Notamacropus eugenii: one gene and its partners. The protein of the gene in region 3 interacts with the protein of the main gene of each other region in a pairwise test. Links are inferred from orthologs where the notes say so. Each region holds a gene or a part of one and is shown on either strand. Other genes may lie near its edges.

Region 1 (7,755 bases), on a different chromosome or scaffold from region 3:
CTTCCTCCGACGGCAACACGCGGCGGCAGCAAGATGGCGGTCGCAGCGGAGGCAGAGAAAGGAGGCGGCGGCCGCGGGAGCGCGGACACGTGACGCTCCCGGCCCGCCTCCCGGCCCCCGAGCAGCCAATCGCCGTGCGCGCCCGCTGGAGGGGGGCGGCCGAGCGGTCGCGTCCAATCGGGTGGCCGGGGGCTCGGAGGCGTGCCATGCATACTGGGAACTGAAGTCCCCGGCGGAGTACATTGTGTTCCTCGCTAGGGCGTCTGGGAGCGGGCCGGGAGCGAGTTTTTGTTTGGCATCCCGGACCTTCCCGAGCCCTTATCACGGGACTGGGGAGAGTCTTCCCCCCGCTCCAGCCGCAGCGTGTGCGTGGGGAAGCGGTGGGTCATGTATACACTTGTCGCTGTGCCATCCGGAGGAGGGAATCCGGAGGATGTGAGGCGGTTTAAAAGCACATTCGGCGACCTTTAAATAAATTCGAGAGCGTTTACTAGGAGCCTACTTCCAGGCAGCTCCCGTCCGCTCTGGTCCCAGATTTCCAGCTCCAGCGGTCCTTTATTAGGCGCATAACGAGGTGCCCGCTGCGTGCAGGGACCGTGCTAAGAGCTGGTGCAAAGCAGCGCTTGTCCCCGAGGAGCTCACGCTCTGGGGAAACAGCGTGTGCAACATTGTATTCACGAGCTGTGCAGACTGGCACGCAACGTTCGGACCTTCGTACGGAGGGGCGCTCAGCGTTGCAGAGAAGGGACCCGCGGACGTCTTTTCTAATTTTTTCCTTAGGAGACACACTTTTGTTCCACGTTTTCTGTCGTGTACCACTCTCTGTGACCCCATTTAAGGTTTTCTTGGCAAAGATACTGGAGTGTTTTGCCATTTCCTTCTCCAGCTCATTTTACAGATGAGGAAACTGAGGCAGACAGGTTGAAGTGGCTTACCCAGGGTCACTCAGCTCTAGATCTGAACTCAGGAAGATGATTCTTTTTGACTTCAGATTGGTACTCTATCCACTGCACTACCTAGCTACCTCAGGGACAACCTTAATCATTCTAATGACACAGGTTCAGTAATTTTTTTAAAATCATGTCCGTTTACATTAATGTCATTGTCAGTAACGTTTTCCTGATTCCACCTCCTAAAGCTCAGGTCTGACCATGTCAACCTCCCCACCCCCTTCTCAATAAACTTCACTTTCTATTGCCTCCAGGATCAAATATATAACTGTCTGGCATTTAAAGCTCTCCGTAATCCTAGTTTCCACCTACCAGTGTTCTATCTTCTCCCTGATAGGTACCACAGTGACGTTGGCCTCTGTTGTTCAACAAATAGGACCCTGCATCTCTTAGCGCTGGGCATCTTCTACTGTCTCCCAAGAATGCTCCCTTTCCTCACTTCTGCCTAATGACTTCCTTTAAGTTCCAACTAAAATCGGAAGCCTTTCCCAACCCCTCTTAATTCTAATACTTTCTCTGTTAATTATCTCTTATTTATCTTGTGCGAATGTCTGTTCATAAATACATGTGTGTATATATAAATATATATATTTTGGCCATAGATTGATTTGTATATGTTATCTGCTGGTTGTCTACCCCTCTAGATTGTAAGTTCCTTGAGAGCAAAGACTGTCTTTTGTCTCTTTTTCTATCCCTATCCCTTAGCACAGTGCCTGGCACATAGCAAGCACTTAGTAAATGTTGATTGATTAATCGACTGGTTTCACCTTGCATCAGTTCATAAGTCTTCTCATGTTTCACTGAATTTCTCACCTCAGTCATTCTTAGGTTGCAGTAACAGTCCACCACATTCTTGTACCACAATCTGTTTAGCCATTTCGCAATTGACACAATTCATTCCTTTTACAGAGGAGGAAAATGACACCCAAAAAGCATATGTGCTTATCTAAAGATCATTCACTACTATCTGGAGAACTGACTCATCTCTCCAAGCCCCAGATCTTTAGAACCTTGCCTCTCTGGAGTCCTACTTGGCCATAGAGGCTGCATATTTCTATCTTTGTACCTGAAGGGTAGAATTCTGGACTTTCATTTTCTTTGATGTCATTGCTGACCTCACAAAATTGTCCATTTAGAAAATATTTATTTCCAAAGAATGGGGAAAATGGAGAGGAGAAACTGATCACCTGCTGATCACAAGTGACCTCTAACAAAGAGCCCCAATAATCCAGTTCATCCCCCAAACTCCAAAATACAGCAGATCAATTCAATTCAATAAATATCTACAGAAAAGGAAACCAAGGCTCAGAAAAAGTAAGAAAAATTCCTTACCCTAGGAGGGACAGGTAGAAGTAGCCAGGCTTTGATAAGAACCCAGATCCCCAATCTCCACATTCAGTGGGGTTTTCCATCAGCCCTGATGCTTTTCATGCACTTCCTATCTCTGTGTTATTGGGAGGAAAGGTACTTTGTAAACTCTGGAGTGGGAGCTGTTCTAAGTGTTATCATCCATCCTCCCAGGCAGACTAGATATCCTTGTTAATGTGTATGGGGGTGAGGATGGGGGTGAGGGGGGGGGGCAAAGATTGGCAGAACAATGGACTAAAGACTGATTTAGATTGGGATCCTGGGGAAGACAAAGAGAGACTGAGATCTTCACAGCCACCATCCTGGGAGAAGGTTCATACCTACTGGGGGAAGGAGAATTATTGCTCCAAATCAGTTTGTTCAGTCTCATTGAGTGACTCAAGGAGTCGACCAGAGCCTAGTTTGCAAGTGAAGGAAGGAAGAGGTGGTAAAGGGCAGGCTGGGAGAGGACAGTGTACCACAGCAAGACGAAATGAGCAAACGTATGTTAAAGTGCTGTATGAACAAGAACCCTACTCTTTGTTTCAGCTCCTCGGTGTCTGTTTCCACATCTGCAAAATAAGAATTATAACCATGGCACTTTTCTCACAGAGCTATTGTAAGACCCAAATGAGAAACTGTATGTAAAGTGTATTATAAACCTCCAATTCTGTTGTTGTTTTTGTGGTTCAGTCATTACAGTTGAGTCTGACTTTCTGTGACCCCATTTGGGGTTTTCTTGGCAAAAATACTGGAGTGGTTTGCCATTTCCTTCTCCAGCTCATTTTACAGGTGAGGAAACTGAGGCAAACAGGGTGAAATGACTTGCTCAAGGTCACACAACTAGTAAGTGTCTGAGGCCAAATCTGAATTCAGGAAGTTGAGTCTTCTTGACTCCAGACCTGATGCTGTGCTACCGAGCTGCCCCCATCCCTTATCTAGGGCCTTCCTTGTGCCAATTTGCCTTTGAAGGGAGGCTTCTAACCCAGTAACAAATTGTCCCTTCCACGTTTCAGGAGTTTAAGGTGTAATGGGGGTGATAAGTGGAGGCTGAGGTTTAGAATAGACTAAGTAGATGGGGGTTGGCCTTGGAGTCAAGACCAGGGTTCAAGAACAGCCTGTGACCCATCTTGGTTGCATGACTCTGGACCTATAATATATCCTTGTCAATGGCCCAGGGGACCTTTCCAAGACTATAAGTTATAGGTGATTTGAAGAAGTCCAACCAGCCCTACCATTTCCTCTGACTCAGCCAAAACCATCTTCTTAGCTGGTATGGGTCAGAGCAGGAAGGCATCCCTACTAACCCCAACTCTTCCTTTGACAGAGGAGGAAACTGAGGCCTTGAGGGTGCAAACAGCTTGCTCAATGTCCCAGAGTGGACCAGGAAGATTTCAAAGCTGGTCCTCCATTCCAGAGCAAGCCCTGAAGAATTGGCCCTAGTCAGGCTGATGCGATGCAACTGCAGAAGCCTTAAGAGTTACTCTTTATTTCATTGTCTAGAGTGTCTACAATAATTTAGCACATATATTTGTGGGGGTGTTTTCTCCTCATTAGATTGTAAGCTCCTTGGGGCAGGGATTATCTTTTGCCTCATTTTGCTCTGTTGCTTAGCATGGTGCTGGCACTTTCCCTCCTTTTTTGACTTGGTTTGCCACGTCCTTCTCCAGCTCATTTTGCAGATAAGGCTACTGAGGCAAACGGGGTTAAAGTTGAGTCTTCCTGACTCCAGGCCCCTAATTCTGTAAGCTATGCCTCTCTCCCCCACCCCCAGCTGCCCCAAGCAGGTGCTTAATAAGTGTTTACTGATAGACTGCGCCCCGCCCCCCCCCCGGGGTGTTTCCTGGCTGCATCTCCTCCACCTTACCCAACCCTACCCTACCCTACCAAGACCATACACAGTATACCGTAAACTCCAGGGGGGCAGGGGTTGTCTCCTTTTTCTCTCTGCATACACATCCCGGGCGCTCAATAAGTGGTGGAGGACAGAACTCGGGATACCATAAGCAAGCACGCCCTGGAGGCGCTGAGGTCCGCCCGGCCGGGCTGCACGTGCCAAAGCCCCGCCCCCGGCCCGGCCCCGCCCCCGGCCCGCCCTCCACCTTCCCCAAGCCCCGCCTCAACCACAGCCCCGCCCTACGCCTTCCCCAGGCCCTGCCCCCAGACATCAGCCCCGCCCCCAGGCCCCGGCTTTCTGTGCCTTTAAGACCCCTCCCCCCGGCGCCGCCCACATCCCTCTGACTTCACTTCCTTCGCGGCAGAGGAGTGGAGAGAGACGAGGAGGGGGAAGAGGAAGAGGAGGCAGCCCGCGCCCCCCGCCCCTAGCCATGGGCGCCCCGCTACAGCTCCTGGGCGCCGGCCCCACGCACCTCGCCCTGGGCTGCTGCTACTGCTGCCTGCTGCTCGTCGTCGCCTCTGCCTCCGCGGCGGGAGGGCTCGGAAAGGGTCAGACTGCCTGCACCCCCTGCACCTTCCCCCATGGAGCCCCTCCCGCACCCTCCCCCACCCTGCTGGACCCCCCCGCACCTCCCCCACCCTGCTGGATCCCCCTGCACCCTTCCTACCCTGTAGGAGCCCCCCACACCTCCCCCACCCTGCTGGACCCCCCTGCACTCTTCCCACCCTGCAGGAGCCCAGCTAACCTTCTCCATCCTGCTGGAGCTCCCCTGCACCTCCCCCACCCTGCTGGACCCTCCCCCCGCACCTCCCCCACCCTGCTGGATCCCCCTGCACCCTTCCTACCCTGCAGGAGCCCCCCCGCACCTCCCCCACCCTGCTGGATCCCCCTGCACCCTTCCTACCCTGCAGGAGCCCCCCCGCACCTCCCCCACCCTGCTGGACCCTCCCCCCACACCTCCCCCACCCTGCTGGACCCCCCTGCACTCTTCCCACCCTGCAGGAGCCCAGCTAACCTTCTCCATCCTGCTGGAGCTCCCCTGCACCTCCCCCACCCTGCTGGACCCCCCCCGCACCTCCCCCACCCTGCTGGATCCCCCTGCACCCTTCCTACCCTGCAGGAGCCCCCCCGCACCTCCCCCACCCTGCTGGACCCCCCTGCACCCTTCCTACCCTGCAGGAGCTCCCCCGCACCTCCCCCACGCTGCAGGACCCCCCCCTCGCACCTCCCCCACCCTGCTGGATCCCCCTGCACCCTTCCTACCCTGCAGGAGCCCCCCGCACCTCCCCCACGCTGCAGGACCCCCCCCCCCGCACCTCCCCCACCCTGCTGGACCCCCCTGCACCCTTCCTACCCTGCAGGAGCTCCCCCGCACCTCCCCCACGCTGCAGGACCCCCCCCTCGCACCTCCCCCACCCTGCTGGATCCCCCTGCACCCTTCCTACCCTGCAGGAGCCCCCCGCACCTCCCCCACGCTGCAGGACCCCCCCCCCCGCACCTCCCCCACCCTGCTGGATCCCCCTGCACCCTTCCTACGCTGCAGGAGCCCCCCACACCTCCCCCATGCTGCAGGACCCCCCCCCGCACCTCCCCCACGCTGCAGGACCCCCCCCCCCCGCACCTCCCCCACCCTGCTGGATCCCCCTGCACCCTTCCTACCCTGCAGGAGCCCCCCCGCACCTCCCCCACGCTGCAGGACCCCCCGCACCTCCCCCATCCTGCTGGACCCCCCTGCACCCTTCCTACCCTGCAGGAGCCCCCCCCCCCGCACCTCCCCCACGCTGCAGGACCCCCCCCCCGCACCTCCCCCACCCTGCTGGATCCCCCTGCACCCTTCCTACCCTGCAGGAGCCCCCCACACCTCCCCCACCCTGCTGGACCCCCCTGCACTCTTCCCACCCTGCAGGAGCCCCGCTAACCTTCTCCATCCTGCTGGAGCTCCCCTGCACCTCCCCCCTCCGCTGGAGTCCCCCTGTACTTCCTCCTGGGACCCTGGATCCCCAGGCAGTCCTGAGACTCCCCTCTCCAGATGCTGGAACCCCTGTACCTCTTTCTGCGGTCTTGGACCCTCCTTTTGGCTTCCAGGACTCCCCTTTTGCTGACGTGCCTCTCCTGTACTCCCCTCCCCCCACTGCAGTTCTGGACTACTCCCCCACCCTGTCCAACTCCCAGATTCTCCAGCCCCCCCTCCCCATTTTCCTAACGTCCTCTGGCTTTCTGAACTCCTGCTTTCCTTCTCTTGGGCCCCCTCTGCGCTCCTGGACTTCTCTATGAGCTTCAGGATGTCCTCCGGGCCCCCAGGCACCCCTTGAGCTCCTGGCACCACCCTGTGCTCTGCTCCTCCCCCAGCTTCTGGACTCCCCCTTGAGCTCTTGGGCTGGCCCTCCCCCCTTTCCCCAGGAGGGTTGGACTGAATGGCCTCCAACATTCATGTGACACTTTAAGGTTTGCAAATCAATTTATAGATACCATCCTACTTGTGATACCACCTGACTGTGTGACCCCAGCTAAGTCACTTAACCTCTAAGTGCACTAGGGGCAACTCTCTAAGGTTGTGAATTGCAGAGAAGGTAGCAACCAGCATTGGTAGAGGGACTTTCCTCATCCTGGAGTTCCCTATACTCATTCAATCACAGTTCCAGCTCCTTTTGCCTTTCTTTGTAGCCCTTGTGACTGTATACAGTAAGTACCCAGTAAGTGCTTATGGACAGAGTAACTTCCCAGAGGTGATATTATTATCCCTTTTTTATAGACAAGGAAACTGAGACTGTGAGAAATTTAGGTGCTGTGGGTCTGAATCAGGATTCAAGCCTGGTTCTTTCTGATTCCAAGTCAGCTATTAAACCCCAGAGGGGATGGGACAATTATGTATAAGCTACTTGTAAAAAAAAAACAAACCAAAATACCTTAAATTTGTGGAACTCTGGATACTTTGCCCAGTGGAGTAGTTTCTTCATTTTAACAATAATAGCTGACATTCATTCTGTAGACCCCCACAGGAGTGAACTCCTAAGATTTGGTGGAGGACAGCGTGTTGAGGTCTCAAGTGGATCAAAAGACTTGACTTGAAATCCAGTTTCAGACACTTACTAACTGTGTGACCTGGACAAGTCCCCTAATCTCCGTCTGCCTCAGTTTCATCAACTGCAAAATGGGGATAATATTTGTAAAGCACTTGGCAAACCTTAAAGTGCTACATACATGCTAGCTATTACAATTATTATTGTGAATATAAATCCTTGAAGTACTTTTAATACAACTTTCTCCCCCCCTTCACCTTCAGAGAAATCCTTGGACAGCAGAATGTAGGAGTCCTCATCCATTTTGGCAAGCATGGCCTTTAGTGAAGGTTCTGAGGACATGATTTTTTTAGGTCCCTTTGCCAATGACCTGAGTTAGTTAACCTCTGGGCAGGTGGCTGCTTGGCTAGAAGTTTCTCTGGAGATTGCACGTGGGCATCTCAGCAACTAGGCAAATACTGCTTCCTCCTAGGATTGGCCCTTCTCAGGCCATACTGGCCCCAGTTGGGTCCTGGATCTGTGGCTGCCGAGTGAAAGGGGG
Region 2 (8,243 bases), on a different chromosome or scaffold from region 3:
GTCAAGCCAAGAGTCAGGAAGACTCATTTTTGTGAGTTCTCCTCTGGCTTCAGACACTTACTAGCTTGGCAAGTCACTTTATCCAGTTTGTCTCAGTTTTCTCATCTACAAAATGATCTGGAGAAGAAAATGGCGAATGATTCCAGTATCTGTGCCAAGTAAACTCCAAATGGGGTCACAAAGAGAGGCACACGACCAAAATGATTGAATAACAGTAATAAACTTGTGGTGGGGAGTTAGATGTAAGTAGATTGGAAATGTAGGAAGAAGCCTGGCTACAAAGGAATTTAAAAACCAAAATCAGATTTTGTATTTGATTCTAGAGTCAAGAGGGAGCCACTGGAGTTCATTTAATTGAAGGTTGTTAACATGGTCCAACTACCTGTGCTTTGCAAAGCTCACTTGGACGGCTGAGTGGAGGAGAAAGGGAAATGGAGAGAGACTTGAGGTAGGCTAACCATTAGGCTATTGGAATAGTCTTGGCATGAGGTAATTAGGGTTTTTACCAACATGGTGGTAGTGTGAGAAGAGAGAAGAGGATGTGTAGAAGAGATGTTGTAAGGTAAAATCAGTAAGTCAACACTCTCCAATTGCCTATAGGATACCTAGTTCAAAATGTCTAATAGGCAATTGGAGATTCTAGAATGGAAGTCAAGAGAAAGGTTATGGCTGGATAAATAGATCTGAGAATCATTTGTATAGAGATGAGAATTGAATATACAGGACCTATGAGATCACCGAGCAAGGTAATGTAAAGAGGAAAGAGAAGAGGTCCCAGAAGAAAGACTTGAAGGATAATCAGGTGCACACTCAACGAGGAGACAGAAAAGGAGACACTAACAATTAAATAGTGACCACAATTAGTATTTATACTGTACTTAGATGTCTGTAAAGTCCTTTGTATATGTTATCTCATTTGATCCTCATAACAACTCTGTGATGTAGCTGATATCAGCCCCATTTTATATATAAGGAAATTGAGGCTGAGAAAAGTCTAGTGACTTGCTCAGGGTCACTCAGCTAAATCAGTGCCTGAGGAAGAGTTTGAACTTGTCTTCTTGACAAGCTTTCTTTTTCAGTAGACTGGATTGGTGCTGGCCAACTATATCATAACTCCTTTCTAGAGTATAAAATCCAGAGTCATGATGAGTGTTGCTACAAGTAGCTTTCACTGATGCAACAATTTAGAAAAACAAAACATATATTTTTAGATTTCATTTCATACTGAGTAATAAACTCTCAAAATACAAAGGGCAAATACTCTTAGACACATTCTACAGATGAGAAAAAAAATCCCTTCCAGCTCTGACTCCACTTTGGGGAAAAATCATTCCCATTTCCTGATGAATTGCAGCACTTCCTTCTCAACCTTCCTTCCATTAGGAAGTTAATCATCATCTTTTGTTTCACTTGGCTGGTTTCAGGAATTGCTTCTGGGCTATTTAAAGGACTGGTGTGACCAGACTAACACAGGACATGGAAGACTTTACTTTCCCTCTTTGAAACTCTAGAGATTAGCCTTAAGACTTGCTGGGTGGGGGAGGAGTGGCAGAATATTTCCAAAGAATTAATTAAGACTCAAAAGGCATTTGGCAGAGTTTGAAACTGATTTCCTGACATTTTGCAATTCAGTAGCTTTTCTGAAAAAGAAAAAAATGCAATTCATAATCATTTGTCTGAACGAATGGATTTATGTCATGTACTTAGGCCTTAAGAACATGTGACAGTCAGCAGCCCTTTGATAAATCACAGTTCTTGGAAGTCAGTAGGAAAATGTCACCATCTAACAGAAGTTGCATTTGTATGTATATGTGTGTCTTCATAATCAGCTTTATAGACTTAATTTAATTTGCAGATAAATGACCTGTATTTAATAAAGACTTTAATGGAATGTTATTGTATGAATCTCATTCTAAGAAATGAAAGCCTATTTATTTGATTTTCTAGGAAACAAGGCTTCTCAGCAGCAGCAGGGGAGAGGAAATGTAGTGATTGTGGAACAGAACGACTTGGGTTTGAATCATGACTCTGACACCTACTGCCTCACCTGTAGGAACATTGGACTGATCCTTTCAGAACCTCTGAGGACCTCAGTTTCTTTATCTGTAAAGTGAGCGAGTTGGACTCAATGAGGCACTCCTAGCTCTAGATCCTATCTTCTCTCTGGTTCTGTGTATCTTTCCCTCTTTGCCTTTGCTCCTTACACACACACACACACACACACACACACACACACACACACACACACACACACCTGTATCATTCCCCAAACCACTTTTGCACTGAGTGGGGAAACCATAATCTTCTCCTCCTGAGATAAATGGACAGTTTGATAAAGGTCCCAAGCAAATCTATATTTTTGTATCTTTGCCATTTCTAGTCACAGGCTCATAGTATATGAATGCTGGATTTCTCTTTTAAAAAAAAATTCTTCTCTCAGGGACCTTAGATAACACAGAGTCTTGCTGCTTCCTTTAAAAATTAAGGATCTGAAACCTGAACTGATATGCCTAAAGTCAAACAGGCTCCAATGTCAGTCAGGATATAAACCCAGACCCTTTGTCTTCAAAACAAGGGTCTTTCCACTCTTGCACACTCTCTAGAGAGCCCCAAAACCTTTTATGTCACTATTTTTGGATACCTCATACTTGAGTTGGCAGATCTGCCACAGAGAAAATAGAACATGATTCTCCCTAAGGAAATCTCACCAACTGAATCTTCTTGAAGTCTCAGAGCTCTTCTTATCTGGTGCTGGGCTTTTCCTTTAGCCCCCATCTGTACCATTCCCAAAACCAATCTTGCACCAACTGGGGAAAATATAATATTCTCCTCATAAGATGAACAGATGGTTTGATAAAGGTCCAGAGCAAACCTATCATTGCTGTCCGCCAAAAGACTGGAACTGTGAATCCGGATGAGGAACGGTCCACAAACGGTCAGTAAGAATCTCCAAAACCTGGTCTGAGTCATAATCATGCCTGTGCATTGGGAGAATCAAAATTAAGTGGACAACAAAATACCAAAAAGTCACTGAATTTAATTATCAAGAAGAACCTTCCATTCCCAATGGACAAGATAGTGATGTAGAGCCAACAGAGTCCCTGTAATTTGGGGTTTTCTCATCATACATCTTTATTTTTAGGAGGAACAGGACTGGTGGATTTAATCTTGTTTTCCTTGTCACTATTTTTAAAATGTTTCTTGCATCTGCTACTCTGCCTGGTTTGAACTCCTTCACAAGAAGCCCCTGCACCAGATACCCACTCTCCATTCTCCTGCTTTTTTGTGTGAGGGGTCTCCTCCTTTGTATCTGCAGCCTCAGTACAGTGCCTGGAAATAATAGGGGCTTGATAAATGTTTATTAGATTAGATTGGATTGAAAGTCTCAACTTCTGACTTCATGAGTGCAGGGTACTTTTGAGGAAGATCAGCCACTCATCTGTAACTTACCTAGAGAGGTGCCTGGTGACTGAGTACATTAGAAATTACTGGTAGATTTATTGGTCATTTTTCAATGTAGTTTTTCCCAAGGGGCCATGGTTCTGGAATTTTGTCAGGAATTCTGTTCATTCAGAATGATCCCTTCTCATCCTTCACCACATTTGTGAGATGCTTTTCTAGAATTTTAATATCAAAGTCACTAGAGTTCCCTAATTTGAATTAGTCTTATGTGTTATGGCCTGAGAAGAAAAATGATCTCAAATGGACACAATTTGAATGGATTCTAGCTACTGCTGACATTACAGAGTTGCAGTTATATAGTTCATTGGAATAATACAGTTTTATATGTACAGATAGTTGCAATATTAGAAGTCAAATTCTTTAAAAAAAACTAATCCAGGTGCAACCATTGTTTGGATTATCCAGAATATGTTTTATATACTCATTTGAAAATCCCTTTGTTTTGGTGATCAATATCTCATGATAGGAAAGAGATATCTCAAGAGCATATTGAAAGAAATTTTGTTAAGAAAATGAGAGAATATTCTAAAGCACCAAACAAATATTTTATTAAGGAATAAATTGATACATATGGTTGTGGATGTTACTGTCTTAATGAGAAAATCAAATTGGCCAGAGAAGTTTCACATGCAACATTTTCTGTGAACAAATCTGTCCTGACATACTGAGAAAGAAGGTTTTTTGTGAGGTTTCTGAACAAAACATCTGCTTGCTATTATGCAAATAGCTAAAAATGATACAAATGCTTGTAATTCATCTAATATCAACCCCATTAGGGATCTATTTTGCATCCAAGTACAAATTAGAATTACAAACAATATTTTTCAAGTGTGTAACATGTTTTATGTTGCTTGTACCATAATCTGAAAATCAAGCCACAAGCATTTATTAAGCTTCTACTGTGTGCTAAGTCCTTTGCCAGGCACTGGACCTACAAGACACAATAGAAATAATCCCCATTTTCAAGGAACTCACACTCTTTGGGGAGAAACAATATAAGCAAATATAAAATACATGATATCATTAACCCTAACAAACATAATTTGTATAAATATGATGCTCATTACAAGCTAAGACACTGTTCCCAATTGATAGTCAAAACATATGAACAGGAAGTTTTCAGACAAAGAAATCAAAGCTATCTATCTATAGTCATATGAGAAAATGTTCTAAATAACTATTTATCAGAGAAATGCAAATTAAAACAACTTTTAGGTACCACCTCATGCCTATCAGAGCAACTAATATGACAAAAAGGGAAAATGTTGGATGTTGGAGGGGATATGGGAAAACTGGGACATTAATGCACTATTTGTGGAGTTGTGAACTAATCCAGCTCTTCTGGAGAACAATTTGGAACTATGCCCAAAGTGCTATAATACCCTTTGATTCTGCAATGCCACTGCTAGGTGTATATCCTAAAGAAATAAAAAAAAATGGGGGAAATGACCTATGTGTATAAAAATATTTATAACAGCTCTTGTGGTGACTAAGAATTGGAAATTAAAAGGATACCTATCAATTGGGGAATGAGTAAACAAGCTGTGGTATATGATTGTAATGGAACATTATTGTGCTGTAAAAAATGAAAAGCAGAATGATTTCAGAAAAGCTGGAAAAACTTACATGAATAGATATAATGAAGTAAAGAGAACCAGGAGAACGTTGCACACTGCAATAGCAATGTGGCTCAGTGAAGAACTATGAATGACTCAGCTGTTCTCAGCAAAGACAATCCCAAAGAACTAATGATGAAGTGTACTATCTGCTTACAGAGAAAGAACTGATATTAATTGAATACAGACTGAATTGTGCAATTATTCACTGTCTTTCTTTCATTTTTCCCCTTTTATTGGGGTCTTCTTATATAAAATGACTAATACAGAAATATTTTACATGATTGCATACTTATAACATATCTTATTGCTTACCATCCCAGTGAAGGGAAAGAAGAGGGAGGGAGGGATAGAATTTGGAACTAAAATTTTAAATAAAAAATGTCCCACAAAATTGGGGGAAAAGATAAGACATTGGAAATCAGATTTATAATTAGAAAAGACCTTATATGCTATGGAGTTCAACCCTACCATTTCATAGCTGATGGACTAAGGAAATAAGAAGTTAAGACTAGTCACAAGACTAGTAAGTTCTTGAAGCAAGATGTGAACCCAGGTCTGCTGACTCCAAGTACAGGACTCTTTACTATTCCTCTATCAGACATTTCTAGGCATCAGAAAATTATCCCCTTCTAGAAACATTTTCACTTACCCCTGGAGTGGTGACAGCTGAGTAGGTCTGTACTTTCATGCTGTACAATTTGGTGAAAGGTCTTGATTCAACAACTTTGAATCCAAATTTGCTATCTAATTTCCATAGTGAAATCCATTAAGATGATAAAGTAATCCCTTAATTGTTAAAACTTCAATCATACTTCCTATACCCTCAGGAATTCCAACATTTTTCAATTCTGCCGAATCATCATATGGGGTCCTATCACACCCATATGTTACACTAAAGGAGTTTCAGGTGTGAGATCAACATACTTACTTTTAAAAATGTCCGATGGTTAGTTACTGGATGTTATGCTTAGAATGAGCTTCCTGGGAACTGTTAAGAGCCTGGCTCTGTAGAAGGGCAAGGGCAAGTACATTTATCATGAAGGTTACTTGATTAATTTTTCCAAACTCACAGCAGGTGTTCAAGAATTCTGTTATGAGAGCACTAAATGATAACATTAACTGATTGCCCTTAAGAGGTGGAAGAACTGATAGAGAAAATCATTTCAATGAGTAATAAAAGGAATGGCACAAAAAAATGAACCGCTCAGAATCCATTGAACAAACGTTACCATTATTCTTCATTCTGTTTAAATTATGGCATGACTGGAAATTGAATTTGGAAGACCATGCAGTTGGTTCTGAATTGAACTAGTAGCTTATTCCTGTGGTTCCACATGAGAATTTAACACATTCCACTTGGATGCCATCATCAATATTTAATGACACTCATGAGAAAAGTAATCAAATCAAAAGTAATCAAAAGTAATCAAGTAGAACCAAGTCTAAAAGGGAATGCAGTTATATAGTATGACTGTATTTAAAAGAAAAGAATCTCTATCACATTATAGAAGTCAGGGTAGCTGGACTATGGGTACTGTCAACAGTGAGTGTGGACAATGTCCTTGAGAACTTTGCCACCTTAACTTTCAAATGGTCGTATTATACTATAGATCCATCGCAAACTTGCTAGTCACTAGGCTCTTGCACATAGTAACCATCTAAATGTGTTTTTTTCTAATCCATTCATTTGTTCACTAACACACCTAGCCATTTTTCAGGTAAGCTATTATCTCACCACAGATCCATTGTATTGTAGTTATTAATTTTAATTAAGATATACAGCTTTAAGTCCATCTTTATTAAATCTCTTGTTATTAGATACAGTACAACCTTCTTTTCCATACAGGTCTTTTGAGACCCTGTCTCTGTCACCTGACATATCATCTCTACCTCTTAACTGTTTCTTTACCCTTTATTCTTTTGCTTCTGTTACTCTCACAGGATGCTCTGTCTTCTCCTCACTCCTTGTCTTTTCACTGACTGCTCCCATGCCTGTAATTCTCTCTTCTCTCGTTTCTACCTCTTGGCTTCCTTGACTTTCTTTAAGACTCACTTCAAACCCCATCTTCTGCAGGATGCTTTTTACTTCTCACTATTTCTTCTCCTATTTTCCCTCTGAGATGACCTTCTATGTGTAATGTACATATCTAGTATGTATGTATAGTTATTTGCATGTGATCTCCACTATTAGACCGTGAGATCCTTGTGGGCAAGGATGGTGGTTTTCTCTTTCCTCTCTGTGTAGCCCTAGCACTTAGTACAGTGCTTAGGACATAGTAGGTGCTTCGTAAATGCTTGGTGACTGACTGTATCATCTTCCAATTTTATAAGCATGGTAAACATGCGTTGTCCAAATCGCTGATGAGGATATTAAGGAAACAGTGTGGGAGGATGAAAAGAACACTGACCCTGGAGACAGAGGACCGTAGTTCAGATCCTGCCTCTGGTATTTACCACTTATGTAACTTTGGGAAAATCACTTAGACTCTCTGGCCCTTGGTCTTCTCATCTGTAAATAAGAATGTTGGACTAGGTTGCTTCCAGCCAAGACTTAGAATCCAAGATTAAGCAGCACAGAGCAAAAAACAGATATCAAGGACATTTACTTGATTAAATTCCTACTATGTGCAAGCACTGAAGGCATAAAAATAACAGTGAAATATTATCTGCCCTTGCATTATATTATATTATAATATATTATTCATATTATATATATATATATATATATTATACTCGTTGTTTAGTCATTTTTCAGTCATGTCCAATTCTTCATAGCCTTATTTGGGGGTTTTCTTGGCAGAGATACTAGAGTGGTTTGCCATTTCCTTCTCCAGTTCATTTTACTGATGAGGAATCTGGGGCAGACAGGATTAAGTGACTTGTCTAGGGTCACATAACTAGCAACTGTCTGAGGCCAGATTTGAACTCAGGAAGATGAGTCTTCCTGACTCCAGGTCCAGGACTCTATCTGCTGTGCCATCTAGCTACTGTGAGGACCTGTAGCAGGTCTTATGAAATACCACACTGACTTAGGAATGGCAATGTCTGCTCTCCCTAGCCTATAACAGAAGCAAAGAGACTAGCGCAAGTATGGCAGAGTTGTCACAACTCAGGACACTGATTGAGCTGCTCTGGCCTTCCTCTACATGCTCCACTGTCACA
Region 3 (7,862 bases):
TACATAATCTTCTATTATGTAATTTCAAACCATTTCCCAGAATGACTGGACAAATTCACAGCTCCACCTAATAGTGCTTATCTTTCCATAGCTCCAACACTGACTATTCCCATCTTTTTCTATATTCTTGTAACAGCAAGCACCTTGACATCCAGGATAACAGGCTGGTACAGATTCTCAGATCTGCTTTTCTAAAAGGAAAACAACTTTTAAGGGGTCAGCAATCACTTTAATTAAACACATATATCATTCACTTAGTTTAGGGGAAACAGTCAGCACCCTGAACTTCAGAGAAAATACAAACAGAAATTACAAACAGAGAAGATGGCAAAGACCAGCAGACAGGGTTTCCAACTGTCTGACCATAGGTCATACATACAGTACAGATCAACAGACAGATCCAAGTGTCTGACCATTCCACACATGCATAGCTACCAGAGAATCAAGCACCAACATCTGGATTTTTAAAACTGAGGTCTCCTTAGGGGCTTCTCAGAGTCTCATCTGGCCTAATCACAGGAACATTCTTCCAGTGATTGAGCCCCAAAGCTAAACCTCATTTCAGTCGCTGTGCATCAGTGCCTCATTACCAAAAGGTGTGGTGGGCCTGCATACAAAACAAGCCTCCTTCAATAGCCCCACCTGCTATTAATTATCAGGGAAGATTTTTTTTTTAACTCCCATCACAGTTCTGTGGATTCTCATTTCAACATTCACAGATGAATCTTAAGTTCCAAAGCAAATCTTCAACTCTACCTTTAGGGCCATACACACTGAGGAATCGAGTTATTCTCTAATACCTAGCCCCTCACTGGTGTGTTTCCCCCTAAGAACCTGAGAATCCCTTAGTCAGCCAGCCTTAAGTAGCTTTTAGAAAAGTGGTATTTACTAAATTTATTAAGGTGATACACTAAAAATAGTTGGTACAAACACCTCCCCAAAACTATGACACACTCTCCCACAAGTACATACAGAGTCCAGAATAAAGTGAGGTCAGTCTCAGAAAGCATATATGGCAAAGAGTAACTCAGAATTTGATGGCTACAAGTTTTTCCCCTTTTTTCTAGGGTGGTCAAGAAGTTCCCCTTAAGCATCCCCCAAGCATCTGTCTCAGGTTTCTAATGCAGATGCAGCTAGGACACCTAAGGGAAAACGAGAGGTCCAAAATCCTCTGAATCTTTTGAAGCACACAAGCTCCTCCTCTGGTCAAAATCTGGGGGGATTTCTAACACTAGAGTCAAGCCTTCTTCCCTCTTTCCCATAACAGGATCTTTTCCATGGGTTTTAATTAAATGTCATGTTTGCTTGTGAGCTTCAGAACTTATCTCTTCTCAACTAGCTGGCTAAAATATACAGACAACCTCTAGGGTGTGGCCCAGATTCCTCAGCCTATCCAAATAACAATTCTTGTGCCATCTCATTTCAGTTTAGAGGCCTTTTCAGGCTTAGGCTAAAGGTCTAGGACTGAACGTGATTGGATTGGGTTTTGTCATTTACTTAAAGTTGGGTGAGGTTGGGTCAATAAATCATCCCACCCTTACATTTGGCAATTTGCTGGATGAGCTGAAATCTCAAATTTGTTTTGTGTTTCTTATTAGGGATTTGGAGCAATCTTTCATATAGTTGTAAATAGTCTTAGCTAGTCTTCAGAATTGTGTTCCTATCCTTTGACCATATATCAGTTGGGCAATGGCTTTTGGTGTTCCATATTTCAATGAGTTGTCGGTAACGTTGGATATCCAGACCTTTAGAGATAATTGATGAAATTGATGAAAAGATTTTTTTCTAATTGAAAACTTTTCTTATGCTAGTTGGGTTAGTCAAATTAATTCAGTAAATGTTTCATAAGTGCCTACTAAGTGTCAGGCACTGTACTAATCTATGGGAATACCAATGAGAAAAAGAAAGGCAAATGCTCGGTATAAGGACCTTGCAATTCAATATATACACAACAGGAAGGTGGAAGGGATGTGTGGGTGGGTGTGTGTATCTTGTTCCTTTAAGGTGAAATCAAGTAGATTTATAGCTCTATAGATTTATAGACCTTGAAATGCACCATCCAGCCTGCAATCCTGGTTCCAAGGTCACCACGGCTAGAACTCTTGGTATTGTGGGGATTACCCCTTGACACAAAACCAGGGACAACACAGAATACAAACACCTCCCCCTCTCCCCATCCCCTTTCTCGGAACAGGGATAAAAGAGAGGGAGAAGTAAGACAGTCCTTCTCTTATCAAGTCAGTTAATGACTTGTGAGCAGCAGACAAGGGTTGCCAAAAGGGAAGTAGCAGAGAAGAGCATGGCCAAAGAGGCCAAGGCTCAGCAGACTAGGTTTAAGGAAGCAGTCAGTCCATCAAAGGAGGCTACACGCACCCCCATACGGTAGGGGACCCAAAGTGCTCCATGGTAGGCAATCCAGATGTGCTCCAGAGGCCCTTCAGGTCTTTTCTCCATGCCTGGACCAGCCCAGGTTATACTACCTTTTCAGGTATTTCATTCTCCTCTGCACAAATTCCAGCTGCACTAGCCTAGAGCATGTCCTCAGTAATCCTCTCTGTGCTTCCAGACGGTCCTACGTCCCTTCCGCGCCTCTGCCTATTCTTTTTCCTTACGTTTCCACTCAGGTGCCACCTTCTAGAGTTGTCAGAGCTCTTTCTTTTCAAATTCTCTTCCTTTTCCTTCTCTGTATCCCCTGGGAGGAAGGATACGGACTAAAGCATCAGGCCCATCCTAGGGCTTCATGTTTATTGAATACGGTTGGGTCGATCAGAACTGAGGCGTAAGGATGAGTAAGACACGATTCGGTGGCTGGAAAGCAGAAATCACATTATTGATCACTCGATATCCTCCTAACACCAGAAGGCAGGAGCTCAGCTGAAAACCAGCGAGCCCGAGCTGCCGTCCCTGGCCTCCAAGGCCAGCGCTGGGGTCCTCTCGTTCTCCCGGGGGCAGCTCACGTCGTAGAGGGCATTCCCCTGGCAGTGCCCCTTCAGCACCTCCAGCACCGACGTGCAGGGGAGGACGTGGAGCCCGCTCGGGCTTTTTTCTTATTCTGGTGACAAAGTTTGGGCATTCTCATATGGGCCGCTCCTAAAAGTGAAGGAATGGTTTGTTTGCAAATAGTAAAAAAAAATTGTCAAGCTGTTAAACGGCCAACTACGGATTCCCAGAAAATAAAAACCCATTATAAGTTTACTCAGCTATTTTAACATCCGTCCTTCACTGACCCACAAAATGGCCATTCGGACATTCACCCGTCCTCGGCAGCAGAGGAGCGGGAGGAGGCCGCCACCTTCTCGCCGAACGGAACGAAGCCGGCAGCGGCCTGGCGCGCTCCGAGCGGGCCCCCGGCCACCTCAGCCCAGCCCCGGGGAAGCGGCCGGAAGGAGGCTGCGGGCTGCGGCCTGGACGGGGCCGAGCGGGGGCGCTCTTTAACACAAGGGGTCCGATCGGCTGGACCAACCGCGCGGAGGGACAAGAGCCCGGGCAGGGCGGCGGCGTCAGAGCGGCCCGAGGGCGTCGCGGGCATCTTCGGGGACCTCTCTGCCCCCGGCGCTGGGGGGGGGCAGACGCGTTAAAGCGCATTTGCACACCCCCCCGGGCCTCCGTAGAGGCGTCCTTCTTGTGACGTCGCAAGCAGACGGGGACACAAACCACCGCTCGCTTCTTCGGTTAGGCCTAGGTGAAGAAGCGTTGGGACGGTGGGGAAGGAAGAGGGACGGGGTAGGAGAGGAGACGTAACGCGGAGGTGTGCGAGGTTAGGGGCACCGGGGGCAAAGACCGCGGAGCAAGCATTCGCGCAGGCGCACGCCAGCCCGCCCCGCCTCCTGGACGAGTCCCCTTTCTAGTAACTTCCCCGGCCCGTGATGTCATCTCCGTGCGACGCCACGGCGGCTGGCATTTTCATTCTTTACGCTTGCTCATCTGAAGAGAAAAGCACACACACACAGGCAAAAACAGACCCCAGGGCTCTCCCCGTGCCCGGGGAAGTTACTAGAAACGTCTTAGCTCCGGCGGTGGAGGGTTTGTGTGTCTAGCAGCCTAGGGAAGACGGGAAGGGGAGGCAGGCCAGCGAGAGGATGGAAACTAAAAGCCCGTGACGGCCCACAGTGACTCGGCGACGCCGGCTTCGTTTCCCAGCGTGCCTCGCGCGGCGCCGCCGAGGGCAGAGGGGAGGAGGGAAAGAGGGGAGGGAGGGGGCGGGGGATGAGGAAGCGGCGGCGACGGCGGCGGGTGTCGCGCAGCGAGTGAGTGTGTAAGCGGGATCGGAGGACCGAGCGGTGGCCGCAGCAGCAGCAGCAGCCGCCAAGGGCCGGGCCTGCGCCAGCGCCCCCACAGCGCCTCACCCCGCGGGGGGGGCTTCCTACCGCTGCCCCCTCCCCCCTTCGTCGTCGTCCCTCCCCTCCCCCCACCCCCCTCAGCCTCCGGGCCCGGCCGCCGCCGCCGCCGCCGCAGCGAGGCCTCGCTCCTCGCCTGAGTCACCGCCGCCGCCATGGCCGAGAGCGGCGAGAGCAGCGGCCCCTCGGGCCCCGCTGCAGCAGATGGTGCCGCGACCCCCTCAGGCGACCCCAAGATCATCAAAGTCACTGTGAAGACCCCGAAGGAGAAGGAGGAGTTTGCGGTGCCAGAGACCAGCTCTGTCCAGCAGGTGAGGCCCCCTCCCCGGGCCTGTAACCTCCGCCTCCCGGCCCGCCGACACGCACGCCCGCGGGGGAGCCGGGGCGGCTCGGTCGAGGGCCGGACTGGACGCGGGAGAACGCCCGAGTCGGGCGGGCTTGGGGTGGGGGCCCCGGCCTGGGCGGGATGGGGACGGCGCCGGGGGCGGCCTCGGTCTCCAGGCCCGGGGCCGAGCCTCGGGGCCGGGTGGAGGGGATGGCCCCGGAGCGCCCGCCCGCGGGCCTCCCCCGTCCTCGGGTAGTTCCGACCGGCGTGGAGGGGAGGGTGTCGCGGCCGGTCCCCGGCCGTTCCCTTCACAAAGGACTCGGCCGGACCGGCTCGGGGCGGGGGCGGAGGTCCGCCTGGGCTCCGGCTCCCCGGGGCAGCTGCCTGGCAGAAAAGTTTCATTGTTCGGGATGACTGTTGAGCCGACAGGGTTAAGGGAGGCTTAGGGTGAGGAACACGTGTGCAGTTGTGCCTTTTGACTGCTGGAATAGCTTCCACCCCTCGGAACAGCTTTTTTCTTGGTTCGGTGACGTAGAAATTGCACCCGGCCAAATTGGAGGAATAACTCCTACCCGGCTGTTGGAGAAAAGTGAAGCATTTTCTTTCACCGGTGTTTTGTTTTTTAAAATCATTCTTTGAGCTCAGGTGCTGATCCGAGGGATGACGGGTTTTTATTAGGTAGTATTTAGAGGTAGGAATTCCGTATAAACTGATTAGGATTGGCTAAGCGATTTAAAATCTGATTTCCGCTGTATCTTGGTGCTACGAATAACCGGAGTTGTTTGGGCCCCACCTATGTAGTACCTGATCGCTGCTTAATAAAACTAGAACTAGCAGAACAACCCAAACCTTGACTTGAATTTTGGTGTGGAGCTCCAAAGAGCTGGAGGCCGTCCACCGGGAGGCGTTAGGAGCCCATCAGCAGGGGTTTGTCAGGGGTGGATTCACATCTCCCGACTGGGTTCTTTACTCTGGACGGGACGGAGTGGGTGTAGTGCCAAGTGTGCCGCCTATTGAACCTCCAAATTACAGTGTGAAGCCCCAGGATTCTCTTTTCCAGTTCTCTAGTCTCACTTCACTAAGTTGGATGATTCCTTTCAGCACTCTACTGCAGGGAATCAGGAAGGAACAGTCTTTTAACTACAGTGTAACTTTATAGCTCAAATTATGTAAGCTATAGATGATGTTTTTGACATTGAGGCTATGAGGGTCTTTCCTATTTTCAGTGGTAGGCATACGTGAAATTAAAATATTAATCTGGGAACTTTTTTTTATGTTGTAAAACCAGTGTTAGCATAGATGAAAATCCACTGATCTTTGATGGTTGTCAAGAGTACAGATAACATTCCTTTTAAGACTTAAGAATTTTAAATACAATAGAATTCTTTTGAAGGTCAAAATACTGTACAAGTCGATTTTTAATATGCTTCTTCAATGAAACTGGTTGAAATTGCAGAACCGACCCTTTTTTGGTAAAGGTACATGAGAGAAAAATTCACAGCTATTCATTAGAAGAAAGTGTTCTAAGGCCATCTTGAAATAAAATATTTCTTAATCTTGGAGCTTTTACTCTTAATTATTAAAGAACTATGCCCTCAGGTTGATAAAAATTCAACTTCATTTTTTTATAAAACAGTTCTTCCTTTTTATCTGTTGCACTCTAGGAGGCAGTGTAGTATAGTTGGAGTACTGCATTTGGAATCTAAAGACCTGGGTTCCAGTTCTTGTTCAGTCCTAGAAATATGCATGTTCACCTGGAATGTTTTCTTCTGTACATAGCCATTATTAATGGTACCCATATGTATTAGGCAGTTTAATTATTGGAGTAAAATAAATATTATCAAAGGCATTGTTTGGCATACCTCAAATTGTTAGGATGACAATTGCACCAAAGTGGAAACAGCTGTTTGCCACAGGTTCTTCTATCCGTTTTTTGTTTTTGTTTTTGACATTAGGGAGACAATCCAAAAATGAGATTAAGAAAGAAGTTAGGATCATTGCAATTCAGCAAATATTTATTAACCACCTACAAATTTACAAGGCAGCTGGGGATTCAAAGACAAATAAGACACTTCTCTTTCCCACAAGGAGCTTACATCTAGTAGAAAAGGTAAGACAGGGACACAAATAACTGATACAAATTATCATGTGATATGTTCATGGGAGAGGGACAAAAAGTGCAATTACAAATCTGAGAATGGAGAGAGACGATATCTTAAAGTTTCTAGGTTAGGCATGGTATTTTGGGTGTTGTCTCCTATACTTCAGTTTTTATCCTGAAATTTTCTTGCCTTGGGGTGGGAAAAAGCCCCCAGAGAAGGGACCTTTAAAGCTAATACGTTTTATTAAGTAAATAAGATTATATATAACTTAAAAATTGCTTGGCATTAGTGGTTCTACATAATATTCTTTAATTTGTTTAATAATTTATTTTGTATTTATAAAATAGTGTCATGTCTAAGTCTGCCCTTTTCCTTTATTTAAAAGTGAGCAAAGGGCAGAAACTATTTCACTTTCTATGTGAGCCTTTCTCTTGGATAGAGTGAGTACTTACTGCTGTGTTTTGGTGATGGTATTTTTTTGTGTACTTAATGTGTACATAATTAAGGTGGATGTTAATTTGCACTAAATGTATTTTTCAGTGGGTCTCACAGAATCCGAAGTGGTTAGCTGTTTAAATGTCAGTTCTCAGTAAACAATAGTTAATGTTTAAATTCAACAAACTTTAGGATATTTTGAGTGCTGTGCAAAGATAAATTTAATAAGATAAATCTTGTCAATTTTTTGAGTATTAACTGGAACGCTTTGGGAGATAAAGTAGTTTCAGAAAAATCTTTCATCCTAATTCTTAGTACACAGTACATTGCACATGGTAGGTGTTTGATAAATATTTGTTGTAGAAAGTATCTTGCAAAAATATGTTGATAAATTTTCTTGCTTTAGTAAAAATTGACAATATGTTTTAAGTCATGAGGTCACAGATATACAGCTGGAAAGCACTTAAAAGACCATTTCCTCATTTTATAGGTGAGGAAACTGAAGTCTAGGGAGATTAAATGACTTGCCCAAGGTCTCACAGATAGTAAGTTTCCTGGTTGGAATTCAGACTTGTTCTTTGACTCTAGAGCCTGCTCTTTCCAGTTGTTTACAATCATAGTTGTCATTTATGTGGCATTTTGCAGTTTGTATAGTACTTGATT
Region 4 (8,381 bases), about 28 Mb from region 3:
CCTTCCACAAGAGCCTGGGCATATAAGCTTTTGACCTGGATACTGCTAGATACCATGTTGTACATAAAGACTTGCTTGAATTATTTATGGATATGATAATCTATTAAGATATTCTTCATTCAAAAGGTCCAGCATATCAAGGGAACTAATGAAAAGAAATGCTAGGAAAGGTGGCCTGGCTCTACCAGATCTCAAATTATATTATAAAGCAGCAATTATCAAAACCACTTAGTATTGGCTAAGAAACAGAAGGGTAGACCAGTGGAACAGATTGGGTACTCAAGACACAGTAGTCAATTAATATAGCAATCTACTGTTTGATAAACCCAAGGACCCCAGCTTCTGGGATAAAAACTTGCTGTTCAACCAAAATTTCTGGGAAATCTGGATAACAGTGTGTCAGAAACTAGGCATAGACTAATACCTGACATCATGCACAAGAATAAAGTCAAATGGGTACATGATCTAGGTATAAAGATTGACACTATAAACAAATTAGTAGAGCAAGGAATAATGTATTTGTCAGATTTATGGAGAAGGGAAGAATTTTTTACTGAACAAGAGATAGAAAGCATTATGAAGTGCAAAATGGATAACTCTGATTATATTAAACTGAAAAGTTTTTGCACAACCAAATCCAGTGCAGCCGAGATTAGGAGGGAAGCAGAAAACTGAAAAAGAATTTTTGCAACTAGTATCTGTGATAAAGGCCTCATTTCTAAAATATATAGAGAACTATATATATTCTAATATGTATAGAGAACTGAGTCAAATGTACAAGAATACAAGTTATTCCCCAATTGATAAATGGTCAAAGAATATGAACAGACAGTTTTCAGAGGAAGAAATTAAAGCTGTCTATAGTCATATGAAAAATGCTCTAAATCACTTTTGATTAGAGAGATGAAAATCAAAATAACTCTGAGGTACCACATCACACCTATCAGATTGGCTAACATGACAAAACAGGAAGATGATAAATGTTGGAGAAGATATGGGATAGTTGGAATACTAACTCATTGTTAGTAGAGCCGTGAGCTGATCCAACCATTCTGGAAAGCAATTTGAAACTATGCCCAAAGGGCTACAAAAATGTCCATACTCTTTGACCCAGCAATCCTGCTTCCAGGACTGTATCCCCAAGAGATCATAAAAATGAGAAAGGGCCCCATGTGTACCAAAATATTTATAGCAGCTCTCTTTGTGATGGCCAAAAACTGGAAATCAAGAGGACGTTCATCAATTGGGGAATGACTGAACAAAGTGTGGTATATGAATGTAATGGAATACTACTGTTACCAGAAATGATGAACAGGAAGACTTCAGAGAGGCCTGGAAAGATTTATATGAACTGATGCTGAGTGGAAGGAACAGAACCAGGAGAACTTTGTACACAACAACAACCATGGTGTGTAAGGAATCTTTCTGGTGTGTGTGTGTTTGTCCTTCATTTCTGAAGAAGACCACACCATCAGAGAAATAATGACATGACTAGCGCTTTACTTTGTTTTGAGTGAGGGAGGGCTGTGCAGGTCACCAGCCTCACTTCTCCTCTACAGCCATCTGAATCCAGTGACTAGATATTCATCAGGATGACTGGAGATGACCCAGGATGAGACAAGTGGGGTTAAGTGACTTGCCCAAGGTCACACAGGTAGTGAGTGTCAAGTGTCTGAGGTGAGATTTGAATTCAGGTCCTTCTGACTCCTGCACTGGTGCTCTATTCACTGTACCACCTAGCTGCCCCTCTGGTAGGCTTCATACTTCATTGCAATTCAAGAACTTAAATAATTCCCAGTGGTCTCTTAAGGCAAAATACCTTCCACATCCAGGGAAAGAACTATGGAATTTGATCGCAGAATGAAGCAGATCATTTTCTTTTGTATTAAAAAAAAAGATATTCTTCATTGTAGAAGTACATGACTGTCTTTAAGAGGCAATATGCAACAGTGAAAATCAAATAGTGGCTCTGATGTCAGAGGACCCGAGTTCAAAGCCTAATCTCTGAGGTTTAGTAACAGTGAGACCTGGGATAACTCTTTCAGCTTCAATTTTCTGATCTGTAAAATGACGAGGTGGGATGATCCTTAAGGTCCCTCCCAGTTCTAAATCCATCATCCACTAAGGTCACCTATAAAAGAGAATATACAACAGAGCAAATTCAATTAATTAGCCTTCTAGGTAGAAGAGGTTGAAGCCAGTGGTTTAAATGGGGTTCCTGTATTCCAGTGGATTTCAATTATTCTTGATATCTCTTTTTTTAAAAATGGCTAATAGAGCTGTCAGTATAAATTAAATACTATAATTTTCTGAGGGAAAAGCTACATAGAATTAAGGGCATATTCCCTGCTCCCCATGATTTTTATAAGTTAGTGATATAGAGAATTCAAGAACTCAGCATTATCTCTTCTTATCATATATGGATGTATATTTATATACATATATATATATGAATTGCGTGATAAGAAGATAGGCTTATCCTGAACCTGCTTATGTAGCCTTAGACATTTCACTTAACCTTTCAGAGCCTCTGTTTCCTCATCTATAAAATGAGGGAGTTAGATTACATAGTTTCTGAAGTACTTTTCAGCTCTAAATCTATGATCCTATGACAGAGAACTCATGTATTACCTAGCAGCCTTACATGTTCCTAAATTTTAGGTCTTATGACAAAGCAGTCAAGTTATAATGTCATTTCTGTCTCTAAATCTATAAACTATGGCAATCCAAGGCCCTGTTCTGATACACCAGGTATCTCTTTTTTTTTTAGTTGAAAGTGTCCTCAATTCCTATCCTTATTTCTTTTACTTAATTAACTAATTATTACTTTTCAACATTCACTTTTATAAGATTTCGAGTTCAAAATTTCTTCCCTTCTTCCCCTCTTCCTCTCCAAGATGGCATGCGATCTGATATAGGCAATACATACACAATCATATTAAATATATTTCCACATTAGTCACATTGTGAAAAAAGAATCAGAACAAAAGGGAAAAATCACAAGAAAGAAAAAAAGAGAGAAAATAGTATGCCTCAAATTGCATTCAGACTCTATAGTTCTTTCTCTGGATGTGGATAGTATTTTCCATCACGAGTCTTTTGGAATTGTAATTCACTTACAATGTGAATGTAATTGTAATGCAATTGGTCATTGCATTGTTGAGCACAGCTAAGTCTATCAAAACTGGTCATCACACCATGTTGAGGCTAATGTGCACAACATTCTCCTTACACTGGTAATCATAAAAGACCTAGAGTGAAGATTCTACCTTGCTGGGTATATCCTCTCTGCCTCTGACAGAATGTGGTCAGGTTACATCCTGCACCACTGAAGGGAGTACCCAAGAAATAATAACAATGGCTGATGTTTTAGAGAGTTAGTTTTAAGATTTGTGAAGCATCTCTATAAATGAAATTTGGGTCTATAATCTCATTTAATTTTGCATGTATGAGATTAGAGATCCATTGAATTACTGAGTTATTCATTCATCTATTTGCTGGTTTGGTCTTCCCCTTTTATCCTTGATCTTTGTGCAGCAGCTACTTTAAGGCTGGTCTCACAGCTGATTGGCAGAAAAGTTTTGTCCTATTTCATTTCTGACCTCAGCTGGTCAGAAAGATGATCTCTGCCTAGGCAATTTGGTGCCTCCTTACCCCAGGCTGTGGTACCAATTGATACCAATCTTAGTAGGGATACACCATCTGCTTTAGCCCTTGTGTTGCTCAGAATGCCCAAGCTCAAGTGATTCACCAGTTTCAGCTTCCCTAGGAGCAGGGATTATAAGTGTGAGCTATTTAATCTATTCTGAGTCATTCTATATTTCTGTAAATTTAAGTCTTCCAAGAGTAGTTTGTAAAGGAAATGTCTTCCCAAAATTAAAGATATGAAATTTAAAAATAACAAATAAGGCAAAAAATATATTAATGTATACTTCAGAAATTCTACAATTTTGTATGCAAACTCATTGGCAGTAAGTATGTCATATATTTACAGTCATAAATTATGATGAAGTCAATACAATTTCTAGCCATACTTAAATTATAAAAGAAAATGGAAGTTTTATATGAGAAGCAGTTTGGTGGAGTGTAACCATTTGGGTTGGAGGCAGGTTGGAGGGGCTCAGATCTTGGTTCTGATACTTACGCTTATGAATTGTGTGACAGAGACAAGTCAAATTACTTACCCTCTCTGGCTTCAGGCTAGTCTGTAAAATGAGAGGGTTTCATTAGATGACCTCTAAAGTCCCTTTCGGCTTTAAATCCTAGGAATCCATTAAACTGGAGGACACTGAATATCCCCCATCCTAAGATTATCTGCCTTAACACCCAATACGACTTAATTGCAAAATTACACTGCCTTTGCTTCTATCCACCATAAAATCTCATTAAAATCTCCTTAGATTTAGTAGCATTTTCGCAGCATTAAAGTTTCTCCTCATTGTATGTTATTGGGGTAAATCATTTATCAAGGACAAGTCATATTTAAAAGCAAATGTGAAGGTGTCTGGCAAATATTCAAATGAACTCAAGAGCATAGATTGGAATTTTCATTTGTTTTGGTTTTCCCTGGGAAGGTTAAGAATCTCTCTTGTATCTATCTACCAAAGAATGATTAATTTGGAGTAGGGAGTGTCAGGGGAGGTAGAGGGATGTAGCATTCATTATGCACTCAGTCCCTCCAGACACTAGGAAATTCCTTTCTTGATATTGACTGCTGGAGGTGGAGAACAGACAAACAGGAAAACCTGTATCTCTGGCCTCTCTCAAATACCTGGATGGGACGGCCCAATCCTTAGGCTTCTCCCATCCCCGGTAATGGGAGTTGTTCCGAAAGAACTTCACTGTGGAATATCTCATTTCAAGATCTTCCTCCTTGCAGCCCCTCCCTTGCAGTTCTGTACTGCAGTATCAGCATCCAGAAGCCCCGAGCAAGGCTGGGTGTGGGAACTGAACTCGCGACCTCTCATCCCGGAGGTAAGCGATAAACTCACCCAACCCCTTACTTCCTGATGCTTTATTTCGGTGGCTGACTGATCCTGGGTACAACTGTTTGCTCCTATCTAGAAGCCCTGGGGCCCTCTCTGTCTTTTCCCAGTTCTCCCCACCCATTCTCCCACGTGGAAACAGGAACCCCTCAAACAGGTTAAAGAAACGATGCCAAGTGACATCCTGCGCAGCTGGTTTTGTCATCTAGGCAGAGAACATCAACAAGTGGAGATTGGAGAGCGACCCTGCCTGCTCAGGTCTCCCTCTTCTTCCCGGCTCTGAGCCCAGCAGTTCGGGGACTTCCTCAGCCCAAAGGATTTCCTAGAAACGCAAGGACTCTGAGACGCAGACTGGTGGCCGGGAAGCTAGAGCTGACTGTGAGGTCATCCTTAGACCGCCCTACTCCAGCGAGACACCGGTTCGGAGGTAGAGACGCGGCTGGGACCCAGATCGGCTCCCGCTTGGCACTTGCAGAGCGGCGGCGGCCAAGCAAACCCAGTCTCCCTTCTTTTCCTCGCCTTACCCCTCACCGCTCGCTCTCTCCCAGGATCTCCCCCGCCCCTCTAGAGGGGCCGGCAGCCAAGACCCGCCACGCAATCCAACTGCTCCCGTGGCCGTCCCTGCCACCGCAGGAGGAGTTATTTTAAAACTTCAAGCTCAGAGCCTTCCTCCCCGCCCGCTCGCCTAAGGGGGACGCCGGCCGTGAGAGGCTGGCTCACCCCCTTGGGCTGTAACTGAGCAGCGGGGACAGCGCGCCAGTGCCCGTGCACTTGACCGTGGGCGGCGGCAGCACCAAGTATTTCGGCGTCGGTGTGGGGGAGGGAGGAGACGGTCCGGGGCGGCAGGTGGTTTGGGTGGGTCCGGCGGCCCCAGCAGCAGCAGCCCGGCGGGAGCCCCGGGTAAAGAAGAGCCAGCCGGGCTAGGAAGACCGGCGCGCGTCAGGGCTCCGAGTCCGCCTGAGCCCCGGCCGCAGGAGCCAGGTCACCATCGCCCTCTTCCTCGGTGGCTCGGACAGCTCCTTCGCCCCCGCCCCTTGCCCCGCTCTGGGTGGTGCTCGCGGCCGCCGCCGCCGCCTCCTCCTCCTCTTCCTCCAGCTCCGGGGCCCCTCCACCCAGCAGGGATCCAGCCCCTGCCCTTCAGCGTCCCACCTTCCGCACCTATGTCTCTGCCCGTGGTGCTCCCGGGCTCCTGCTGCCCGGTGGCAGGACTCTCCGCAGGGACTCCGGCTGGCGGTCCGGGCGCCGCGGCCGCCGCCGCCCAGGAGCCTCCGCTGGCCCCGCTCCGGCCCCGCTGGTCGCGGGCAGGGCTGCCGCCCCCGGCGCGGCCTCGCGGGGCGGCTGCCTCGGCCGCCTCCGTGCTGTCGCCGCCGCAGCCCCCGCTGTCCGCCCGCCGGGCCGCCGCCGCCGCGGCCGCCGCCGGGGTCCCGGGCTCCGGACTGCTGCCCGCCCGCCCGCTGCTGTCCCTGGGGCTCCTACAGCTCATCTTGGGCTGCTGCATGGTGGCGCTCAGCTTCGGGGCGCTGTCTCTGAGCAGTTCCCCGCAGGTGAAGAACTCCTGCCCGTTTTGGGCTGGCTCCTCGGTAAGTCTGTGTCTGCCTCCGAGCCTGGACAGCCCAAGGTGAGGGGGCTGCATGAGGGGGACGAGGAAGTTCAGACGTGTCTCCTAGTTCAGGCTCTTCTGCGCCCCTCCTCATTTTCTCTTTGGGGTAGCACTTGGGTTGTGCAATTCTACTGTGGCTCATAGCCCAGAGGTGGCAGCCCTTTATGAATGTACGTACAGGTTGTAACTTCTTTCCCTCTGGGATTTAAAATTTTAATACTTAACTGTCATCTTTCTGGAGTAATGTCTAACAGCTATTTCCAGCAGTTATAAGACAGAGAGGAGCACACTGAGGGAGAAAAAAAGAGAAGTTTCCCACGGAAAATGGGTTATGGATGGTGAGCTTGTCTGGGCTAGAATCCACACTTTTCCTTCACTCCCTGGGTGTATACATGTAATTGTTTTTAAATGTGACATTTGCATAGTATTGCTAGAATGTATTTGAGGAAAGGTTCAAATGTAAGGAGAGACGGTAGGTGTATTTTGTTATTTGGGTTTTTAAGTGCAGAAAAGTTTTAAGTAACTGTGTCATGTTTCTAGAGGTATGTCACACTTGCTTACTATGTGCATAAAGGTTTTGTTGATAGGGAGAAAGCAATTTTAACCTAAAATCAGACACTATTGAATTCTAGAGAACCTAGACCCTGGTGTCTTCGTTAATCAGTAGGCACAACTCCAGCAGACATCTAGAGATGCCTGCTTTCAGTCTCAGGATTCCTGTTTTCCACTGCAGTTGCAATTTGATGCTGCTTGGGTAGTGAATGTGTTCTGCAAAGTGCATGAACCCCTATAAACCTAGTCATAGGATTTCCATACTAGGCCTTTGGGAGTGAGAGAAATAGAGTGATAGGACTGCCTGCTATTTGTGATGTATTCACAGCCCACTTAAGATGCTCTGATGAATCTTGATGAATCCAGGCTAAGCATGGGTTTCCTTACAAAACATCATGAGCCTACAGGTTTCTATGGGTTTTGCCCTGTGGGTTAAGAGCCTTGGAAACAAAGGCTCACATTTCACCAAATGGGTTTTGTGGGAAAGCACAGGGCCATCTACCATGAAGTTTAAAGCAAATTAAGTTTTTTGTGAACTAACTAAAATCCTAATGAACATTTACAGAGTGCACCATTTTTCACATGTTCATGTCTTAAGGCTTGTAAGAATGCACATTATATGTCAAATCTCATGCTTTCCTGTAATACATGTCCCTTAAAAATGCAGTGAAACAATTACACAAAGAAAATAATACATAAGTCAAAAGTAACTTCCCACAATTCAATCTTATGTTTGATTAATACATCAACATCAGAGTTATCAACTGGGCTGCCATTTTAGCCTGAACTTTTCTTTCCTCACTGCTGTAGTCTGATGGTAGATGATTTTATGGATGGTACAGTATGTGCAGTGATCAGGAGGGTAGCTGATAATGTGTATACCCTGCTGTGTGATTGCCATTTTCACCTTCTAAAGACCGAAAGTTGGATTTTTGCTTTGCTCTACATTCTGGTGCCTTTCTTTAGGAGGAAATCTAGTGAATCTGTAATTATTGAATCACAGGCCTGGAGCAGAACGGTACCTCATAGCCCCTATCATCCAACTCCCTCTTCCTTATTTTAAAATTGAAGAAACTGAAGTCAAGGTAGATTAAGTGGGCTTGGCCATGGTCACACAGGAAGTGACAGTGTCCTTTCCCTAGTATCATACTACCTCCCAACTTTGTTCAGAGTTGTCTATATTTAACCATTTGGGAATCAGATGCATAGTTCATGTATCAGAGTAAATGAGGTTGAATCATAGT

The links.
Region 1: the proteins of UBQLN1 (region 3) and TXNDC12 interact in binary tests that used the Homo sapiens proteins (3 or more experiments, as listed by UniProt). The two-hybrid records come from large-scale screens. The link is inferred for Notamacropus eugenii from reciprocal best matches to the Homo sapiens genes UBQLN1 and TXNDC12.
Region 2: the proteins of UBQLN1 (region 3) and SERPINI2 interact in binary tests that used the Homo sapiens proteins (3 or more experiments, as listed by UniProt). The link is inferred for Notamacropus eugenii from reciprocal best matches to the Homo sapiens genes UBQLN1 and SERPINI2.
Region 4: the proteins of UBQLN1 (region 3) and ENTREP1 interact in a two-hybrid assay, tested with the Homo sapiens proteins (2 studies listed by BioGRID and IntAct). The link is inferred for Notamacropus eugenii from reciprocal best matches to the Homo sapiens genes UBQLN1 and ENTREP1.

What each region holds. Positions count from the first base shown.
Region 1 is NC_092873.1:512,180,925-512,188,679, reverse strand, and holds the start of TXNDC12 (thioredoxin domain-containing protein 12), read left to right. Parts: upstream 1-4,511; 5' UTR 4,512-4,624; coding exon 4,625-4,742; intron 4,743-7,755. UniProt on the Homo sapiens protein: Protein-disulfide reductase of the endoplasmic reticulum that promotes disulfide bond formation in client proteins through its thiol-disulfide oxidase activity.
Region 2 is NC_092877.1:357,003,962-357,012,204, reverse strand, and holds the start of SERPINI2 (serpin I2), read right to left. Parts: upstream 3,295-8,243; 5' UTR 2,977-3,294; coding exon 2,709-2,976; intron 1-2,708.
Region 3 is NC_092872.1:74,443,119-74,450,980, reverse strand, and holds the start of UBQLN1 (ubiquilin-1), read left to right. Parts: upstream 1-4,173; 5' UTR 4,174-4,492; coding exon 4,493-4,648; intron 4,649-7,862. UniProt on the Homo sapiens protein: Plays an important role in the regulation of different protein degradation mechanisms and pathways including ubiquitin-proteasome system (UPS), autophagy and endoplasmic reticulum-associated protein degradation (ERAD) pathway.
Region 4 is NC_092872.1:102,679,752-102,688,132, forward strand, and holds the start of ENTREP1 (endosomal transmembrane epsin interactor 1), read left to right. Parts: upstream 1-5,027; 5' UTR 5,028-6,145; coding exon 6,146-6,565; intron 6,566-8,381. UniProt on the Homo sapiens protein: Functions as an activator of the E3 ubiquitin protein ligase ITCH in the ubiquitination of the CXCL12-activated CXCR4 receptor. Thereby, triggers CXCR4 endocytosis and desensitization, negatively regulating the CXCL12/CXCR4 signaling pathway.